Sus scrofa: one gene and its partner. The protein of the gene in region 1 purifies or fractionates together with the protein of each later gene. This does not show direct contact. Links are inferred from orthologs where the notes say so. Each region holds a gene or a part of one and is shown on either strand. Other genes may lie near its edges.

Region 1 (3,811 bases):
TTTTTTTTTTTTTTTTTTTTTTTTTGTTAAGTTCTGCATCTGCGGCATATGGAAGTTCCCAGGCCAGGGATTGAGTCTGAGCCATAGCTGCAACCTGCACCGCAGATATGGCAAGGCATGATGCATCAACCCTCTGCACTGGCCTGGGGATTGAACACATACCTCTGCAGCGACCTAAGCTGCTGCAGTCAGAATCTTAACTCACTGTGCCACAACAGGAACTTCTGCACTGTCTTATATGTTAACAGTTGAGCTGATGAATATTTGTGCAAATGATAAGGTTTTTAGTGAAGTGCTAGGGCATGGTATAAGGATTCTTATAGTTGATTTGATGTTAATTAACTTTCAGTAACTTAAAGTGCATTGTTATTGACTAAACTGTAATCACAATATTTAGTTCTTTTTATATTTCTGTCAGTGACTCATGATTTCCCTCTCCAACATGCTAGCAAATATGTATATCTCCCTTCAGGCCAACAGCCATTCCTTACAGATTGTTTCAGTCTCCGAACTATTGTTCATCCCTCCTATCCATTGATATTCTCAGCTGCTGCTCTGCTCTTCAGCTTTCTACGTTAAAAATGACATGCACAACTTGGTGTTTCTGAGTAACAGAAATTTGTTTCGTTTTATTTTTTTAATTATCTTACTGAAAACCTGTTGTAAGTGTTCTGTTATGTTTCATCACATTAACATGTACCATCTAGGGTGACTGTTTGTTGTTTGTTATAGGAAATTGAAAAACCAGTAGCTGTTTCGGAGCTTTTTACAACTTTGCCAGTTGTACAGGTAAGTGCATGGTGTAAGAAGCATAACACCTGTTCATTTGGTTCAGACATGCAGTCATATGTGTGGTTCCCTTCCTCTGTCTACCGGTCTTACTTTCCATAAAGACTCAGCTCTTCCAGAAAGCATTCTCTTACTGTCAATTCAGTACTCTGATCATCTTTCTGAAGTCCTGCAACCTTTAAAATATCTCATCGTGTAGTTTAATATGCATGTTTTTTTCTCTAACTGTGCAGATATATCTCAGAGATATTACAGGTCTGATTTCAGACCACTGCATAAAGTGAGTCACACGAATGTTTTAGTTTCCTGGTGCATATTAAAGCTATGCTTACAGTGTACTGTACTTCAGTAAGTGTGAGGTTAGCATTATGTCTTAAAACTATATATATATATGCCTAATTTAAAAATACCGTATTGCTTAAAAATGCTCACCCTCATCTGTATATTCAGCAAGTTATAATCTTCTTGCTGGTGGAAGCTCTTGCCTTGATGCTAAAGGCTGCTGATGGATCAAGGTGGCAGATGCTGAAGATTGGGGTGGCTATGGCACTTTGTTTTTTCTTTTTTCTTTTTTTATTCTTTTTAGGGTTGCACATGTGGAATAGGGAAGTTCCCAGGCTAGGGGTTGAATCGGAGCTGCAGCTGCTGGCCTGCATCACAGCTACAGCAATCCTGGATGTGAGCCACATCTGTCACCTATACCACAGCTCATAGCAACACAGGATCCTTAATCCACTGAGCAAGGCCAGGGATGGAACCCGCATCCTCATGGATAACTAGTCCATTCTTAACCTGCTGAGCCACGGCAGGAACTCCAACTCCAGTTTGCTGCATGAATTGTCTTACTTGCACTAAAAATTTCTCTGTAGCTTGCAGTGCTGTTTAATAGCATTTTACCCACAGTAGATCTTCTTTCAAAATTGGGGTCTTCTCATACCTGTAACTGCTTTATTAGCCACATTTGTGTGGTTTATTCTAAATCCTCCTTGTCATTTCAACAATTACATTTGGCGTCTTAAGTGGGCATGGTTTGTGGGGTCCCAAAACAGTTTTCAACAGTAATGTCAAATATCAGTCATCAGAGATCACCGTAAAAGATATAATAATAATAATAAAATGCAAAATACTGAAGAATTACCAAAACATGACACAGAGACACTAAGTGAGCAAATGCTCTTGGAAAAATGGCACCAGTAGACTTGCTTAATGCAGAGTTGCCACCAGCCTTCAGTGTGTAAAAAAATACACTATCAGTGAAGTGCAACAGAGTGAAACAGAGTAAAATGAGGTGTGCCTGCACCATAAATTCTTGAGCACGAGGACTAGGTTTTATTGATCTTCACTATCTCTTATTGTTAGTACCTTTTAATGTGTACTTCCCATTGGTAAGGAAGAAAATCAGTCATTTGTATTTTGTGCTCTTTTGATAACAGGGAAAATCAAAACCAATTAAAATTTTGACTAGACTGACAATTATTGTTTCCGATCCATCTCACTGCAATGTTTTGGTAAGTTATTTATTTTTCTTCTTTTTGGCCTTGTAAGTTGTATTGATTAATGTCAAACAGGGTTCTTTTTCAACTCACTCCATTCTTAGATCTCCCCGCATCCCCAGTGCACGATACTTGACTGCTCCACTTAGCTCAGAATTCACACGGTGTAACAAAATCTCATCTGCTCATGGCACATACAATAAAGATACCACAATTAAAGACTCTTTCAGCAGCTGGTATTCATTGAGCTTATATGAACCAGCCATAAGTGAGTGCTGGGCATAGTGCTTATGCATAGTACAGACACAGTCCTCTTAAAAATGGAAGGAATATTTTAAAAAGTGGGAGATAGTAAGCAAAAATGTCCTTGGAATGTGTAACAGGGGCCAACCTGAGGAAGTTGATGTTCACACTGGGACCAGAAGAAGCAATAAGTGTTAGAGATGGCCAAGTAGGGGAGAGAATATTCCCACAGACAGGATGGATTATGTAAGGTCCTGAATCCAGGGGGAAAAGCAAAACGAAACACCGCTGCGTTCCGGAAAATGAAACACCAGTTGAGTTGAGCCTGATGATCTGGCTAACCTGGGATGAGGTGAGGGAGGTGGGTCTGGGTAAGCAGTTAGAAGCCCTCAAGAGAGGACACTTATGAGGAGATAAAGGAGGGGACTTGAGAGACATTGGGACAGGAGACTCACAGGATTTGATGTTGATTAGATAGAAGGTGATGACTCCTTGCCTTGGCCTGAGCAGCCACGTGAGAAGATGGTACCATTTCCTGAGACGGGACATACAAAGAGAAGTTTGAAGGCATCAGGTTTTGGACATGATAGGTTATTGTGAGAGTTCCAGTGGAGCTTGTTGAGTGGGAGGTTGGGGGAAAAAAAAAGGTGTGGCCCTCAGAAGAGGAACCCCAGTTGAAGATACTGATGTGGAAGTGGCTGCCCTGTACAGAGTAATTGAAGTCATGAGAGTGGATGAGACTCCCTGATCAAAAGTAGGAGGACAAGGAGGAAAGTGAGAAGGGTCAGCAGCATCAGTGTGCCTGAGTGTCAAGCAGGAAAAGGGCTAAAACGTGTCTTGGAAGGCAAGTCCCCCGTTGACAGGGAGGTCATTGGTTGCCTTAGCACACACCATTTCCACGGAAATGATAGGGCCATGAGAAAGTGCAGACTGTGTGTGCTGCTGACTTTGCTTGAGAAACTTGACTCTGGGGAACAGAAGGCATAGAGAGGCTGGTCAGTGAGAATCTGCTGTCTGTCTAGCTTTTTGTTCGATGGCAGACTTGAGAATGCTTGGTGCTTGGAGAGGACCCAGTGAGGGATGGAGGAAACGAGGTCTCTGAGGAGGCGAGCTGTTTCATCTTTAGCTGGAAAGGCCTGTCTCTCACAGAACAGGAGTCATCAAGGAGGGGGGCTGGCCTCCTTTCTAACAGTTAGCATGGCTGAGGAAATTGTGGAAAGCCAAATTGGGAGATTTTATGCAACTGCAGGCAGCATTCTGATTCTTTTTATGGTCATGAAGACTTT
Region 2 (4,211 bases), on another chromosome or scaffold:
GCTCTGATTAGACCCCTAGCCTGGGAACCTCCATATGCCAAAGGTGCAGCCCTAAAAAGACCAAAAAAAAAAAAAAAAAAAAAAAAAAGAAAAAGAAAAAGAGAGAGAGAGAATCCAACTAGTAACCAGGAGGTGGCAGGTTTGATCCTTGGCCTCGCTCAGTGGGTTAAGGATCTGGCACTGCCAAGAGCTGTGGTGTAGGTCGAAGATGTGGTTCAGATCTTGCGTTGCTGTGGCTGTGGACCAGAAGCTGTAGCTTGGATTGGACCCCTAGCCTGGGAATCTCCATATGCCACGCGTAGCCCTAAAAAGAAAAAAAAAAAAAAAAAAAAAAAAAATTAAAAAGGTCAGATGCCAACCAGGTGGGAAGGACACAGATAGGGTCCACCTGATCCCTACCCTTTACAGCCTAGCTAGGGAGACAGTCAAGGAAAAGGGAAGGGGACCAGGTGGCACCAGGGTTCTTTGTGGCACAGAAGAAAAAGGAAAGTGGGGGACATCCCTGGAGGGTGATACACAGGGTCTTTGAGAGCCGAGGTTGCAGCATGTGCAAAGGCAGAGGGGAGCTTTTAAGTTTTTTTCTGGGGAGCCTACTTGGTGCTATACCGAGAAGGGGAGCCTAAAAGAGGTTTGGAGACGGGGATTTTAGTTGGGTGCGGGGGTGGTTGGAAAGGAGAAGGGGCAGGTTGGAGCCGAGAAACAGTGGCACTTCACTCCACCAAGTGTTTGCTGCCCCCTTGTGGTCTCAGGGACTGCTGTGCCTCCAGGCCCCTTTCATCCGCCGCCGGCCTTCCACCCCACCCGCGCGGTCTCGTTGGCATTTCGAATTGAGCTCGTCTGATACTGGGAGTCATCCTAGACTCTTCCCTCTTTCTCCGTCGGAACAGTCGCCAAACCTACTTCCTGTTATCTTCCAAATGAATCTACTTCTCCCCATTACTCTGCCATTTCTCTAGTTCATTCTTTCAACAAATAATTTAACAAATATTTGAGCCCTATCATACGCTGGTCCATGTGGACACGCCCCCGGGAGTCACCAGCGGATGCGGCCGGTCCCCGCTCCCTTCTGCGCTGCGGCCAGAGTGAGCTGTGCCAAAAAGATCTGGTTTGACCTGCGCCTGATGAAACCTCCCCGTGATACGCCAGTGTCCACAAGATGAGGTCTAGACTCAGAACTCTGTGACCAAAGTTCTTGTCCCCGCAGCAGCAGCCCCCCTCTTGCTCCCGTCCGAAGTGAAACCCGCTGCTCTGCCTTTGTTACTGCACTGTGTTCAACAGAGGTCAAATCCTTCACTTCCTTCCGACGGGAGACGACTCCTAATACCCTCATGCCACCGGCCCTCGCGTCGCGGCTGGGCTCATACCCACAAGCTGCCGTCGCGGCCGCTCTCAGTTTGTGGGCAGAGTCGCCTCTGGTCCTGTCTCCTGAGGCCCCGCCCCGTCCGGCGTGCGCGGCCCCGCGGCCTCGGCGCGCCCCCGTCCCGCGCCATTTTGGACTAGGAGCGAAGTGGTAGAGTGCGTGGCTGCTGTGGTGAGAGCTAGAACCCAGCGGGGTGAGGGCGCCCGGAGTCGGGGGCAGGAGAGGGGAGGCCGGCTGCTGGGCCGCTGCGCCCGCCTGGACACTGGGAGCAGCCCGGGGCGGTGGCGGCCGCGGACCGGCCGCCAGGAGTAGCCCGAGCAGCCCTCCACGCTATCCCCGACTTACTGAGTGACCTGGGTTAGGGGAATCGACCCAGGGGATCTTTGGGCGAGGGATGCTCGGCCCTGTCCTGGAGGTCCTGGAGTTGGGGAGGGGGTCACTTCTGCCTTTGAGGAGCTTTTGGAAGAGGGGTCTGCCTTGGGGAGCTTGGGGTGTAGAGGCTTGGCCCTGCCCTCCGGGAGCACGAAGTGAGGGAACCTTGTCCTCGTCCCTCCTTGGAGAGTCCAGGGAGAGGAGCACAAAGTCTTGTTCTCAAGCAGCCTGGGCCGAGGGCCCCAGCCCTGTCCCAAGGCGCCCCAGATGAAGGAAGTTCGTTACCAGTGCTGGGCAGCTTGGGATGAGGGGGCTCGGCCAGTGGGGAATCTGGTCCTGTCTCTGGGACTGCGGGGGTCGGGGGAGGGTTATGGCTCTGTCCGGAGGAAGGGGATACAGCCCCCTGTCAGGGGGAGGCAGGCATCCCTGCTCTGGGGGTGAGGGGATGTGGTCCTGTTCCTGGGAAGTCTGGGTTGAGGAGCACAGCCATGTCCTAGGGAGCCAGGGATGGGGGGTGGGGTGGGGGATGGCCTGGGGCACCTTGCCTAGCATTCCTCTGACACCTCCCTGCAGCGGGCAGCAAGATTGAGACCCAGCAGCAAGCGAGATGGAGCACTACCGGAAAGCTGGCTCTGTGGAACTACCAGCACCTTCCCCAATGCCCCAGCTGCCTCCTGATACCCTGGAGATGCGAGTCCGAGATGGCAGCAAGATCCGCAACCTGCTGGGACTGGCGCTGGGGCGGTTGGAGGGTGGCAGCGCCCGGCATGTGGTCTTCTCAGGTTCTGGCCGGGCTGCCGGCAAGGCTGTCAGCTGTGCCGAGATCGTCAAACGGCGGGTACCAGGCCTGCACCAGCTCACCAAGCTGCGCTTCCTGCAAACAGAGGACAGCTGGGTGCCAACCTCACCTGACACTGGCCTAGATCCCCTCACAGTCCGCCGTCATGTGCCTGCGGTGTGGGTACTGCTCAGCCGGGACCCCTTGGACCCCAATGAGTGTGGCTATCAGCCCCCAGGGGCACCCCCTGGCCTGGGCCCCATGCCCAGCTCCAGCTGTGGCCCCCGACCCCGAAGAAGGGCACGAGACACCCGGTTCTGAGGACCTGCCAAGCAAGCTGTTCTCCAGGCCTGAATGTCTAGGATGGCTGTGCCTTCTTTGAGAAGCCCTGTAACTGCTCAACATCCCCATCTAGACTTGAGGTTACAGAAGTGGACCTCCCTGTCCTACTTCAACTTCCCTCTGGCTGGTGGAAAGGGACTGTGATGAAGAGTGACAGGTGTGGGGTCTCTGCTGAGTTCTGGATTGCTTAAGAGGAGCTTATTCTGCCTTCCACCTACAGTGACTCTGATCTACCTTCTGACAGAGGTCTGAGGAGTGGGTTAGGAAATAAAAGTTCTGCCCATTTGATAAGCCTCTGCTCGGCCTGCTGTGTGGAGGTGGGATTAGGGGAAGAGGAGTCCTTGCCCTTGACCCCCAGGAGCTCACAGGTGGGAGACAGGAAGGGTAGGCTCAGGTTGGTGCTGGAAGGATCTAGGGTTGATTAAAAAGCCTCAAGTGGTAACCTGTCTGTGTCTAAACCACTGGGTGGCTGACTGCTGCCTGTTTGAGGCTGGTTTAAAGACTCTCTACCAGGACAGACATTTTTCCTCATCTGTAGCATGTTGATATACTTCATTCTATTGCACGTCCCAAATACTGTGTTTTCTACAAAGTAAGTAAGGGTTTGTAGCAAGCCTGCATTGAGCAAGTCTGTTGGCGACATTTTTCCAACAGCATCTGCTCACTTTGAGTTTCTGTCACATTTTGGTAATTCTCACATTGCAAACTTTTTCATTGTTATGTTTGTTATAGTGATCTATGATAAGTGATCTTTAATGTTACTGTTATAACTCATTGAAGGCTGAGGTGATGGTTCAACTTTTTCTAGTAATAAAATGTTTTTATTTTTATTTCTTTGCTCTTTTTTAGGGCTGCACCTGTAGCACATTGAGGTTCCCAGGCTAGGGGTCGATTCAGAGCTGCAGCTGCCGGTCTACACCACAGCCACAACAATTCGAGATCCAAGCCTTGTCTTTGACCTACACCAGAGCTCACGGCAACTCTGGATCCTTAACTCACTGAGCGCGGCCAGGGATCAAACCCACATCCTTATGGATACTAGTCAGGTTAATTACCGCCAAGCCACAATGGGAACTCCTAAAGTATTTTTAAATTAAGGTATGTACATTGGTTTTTTAAACAATACTATTGCACTCTTAATAGACTATAGTATAGTGTAAACAACTTTTGTGTGCACTGGGAAACCAAAAAGTTCTTGTGACTCGCTTTATTGAGATCTTCATTTAATTGAGATGGTCTGGAACTAAACCCAAAATATCTCTCTCAGGTATGCCTGCATTATAGTGTAGTGTTTAAGATCGTAGACTTGAGCACCAGACTACCTGGATTTGAATCCTGGTTTTGCCACTTGCTAGCAAG

The links.
Region 2: the proteins of RPP30 (region 1) and RPP25L purify together in Homo sapiens (co-immunoprecipitation; 3 studies listed by BioGRID and IntAct, counting the BioPlex papers as one, with this or other methods). This does not show direct contact. The link is inferred for Sus scrofa from reciprocal best matches to the Homo sapiens genes RPP30 and RPP25L.

The regions. Positions count from the first base shown.
Region 1 is NC_010456.5:102,568,609-102,572,419, forward strand, and holds part of RPP30 (ribonuclease P protein subunit p30), read left to right. Parts: intron 1-732; coding exon 733-789; intron 790-2,222; coding exon 2,223-2,297; intron 2,298-3,811. UniProt on the Homo sapiens protein: Component of ribonuclease P, a ribonucleoprotein complex that generates mature tRNA molecules by cleaving their 5'-ends. Also a component of the MRP ribonuclease complex, which cleaves pre-rRNA sequences.
Region 2 is NC_010452.4:32,187,748-32,191,958, forward strand, and holds RPP25L (ribonuclease P protein subunit p25-like protein), read left to right. Parts: upstream 1-1,434; 5' UTR 1,435-1,531; exon of another isoform or gene 1,532-1,553; intron 1,554-2,305; 5' UTR 2,306-2,339; coding exon 2,340-2,831; 3' UTR 2,832-3,682; downstream 3,683-4,211. UniProt on the Homo sapiens protein: May be a component of ribonuclease P or MRP.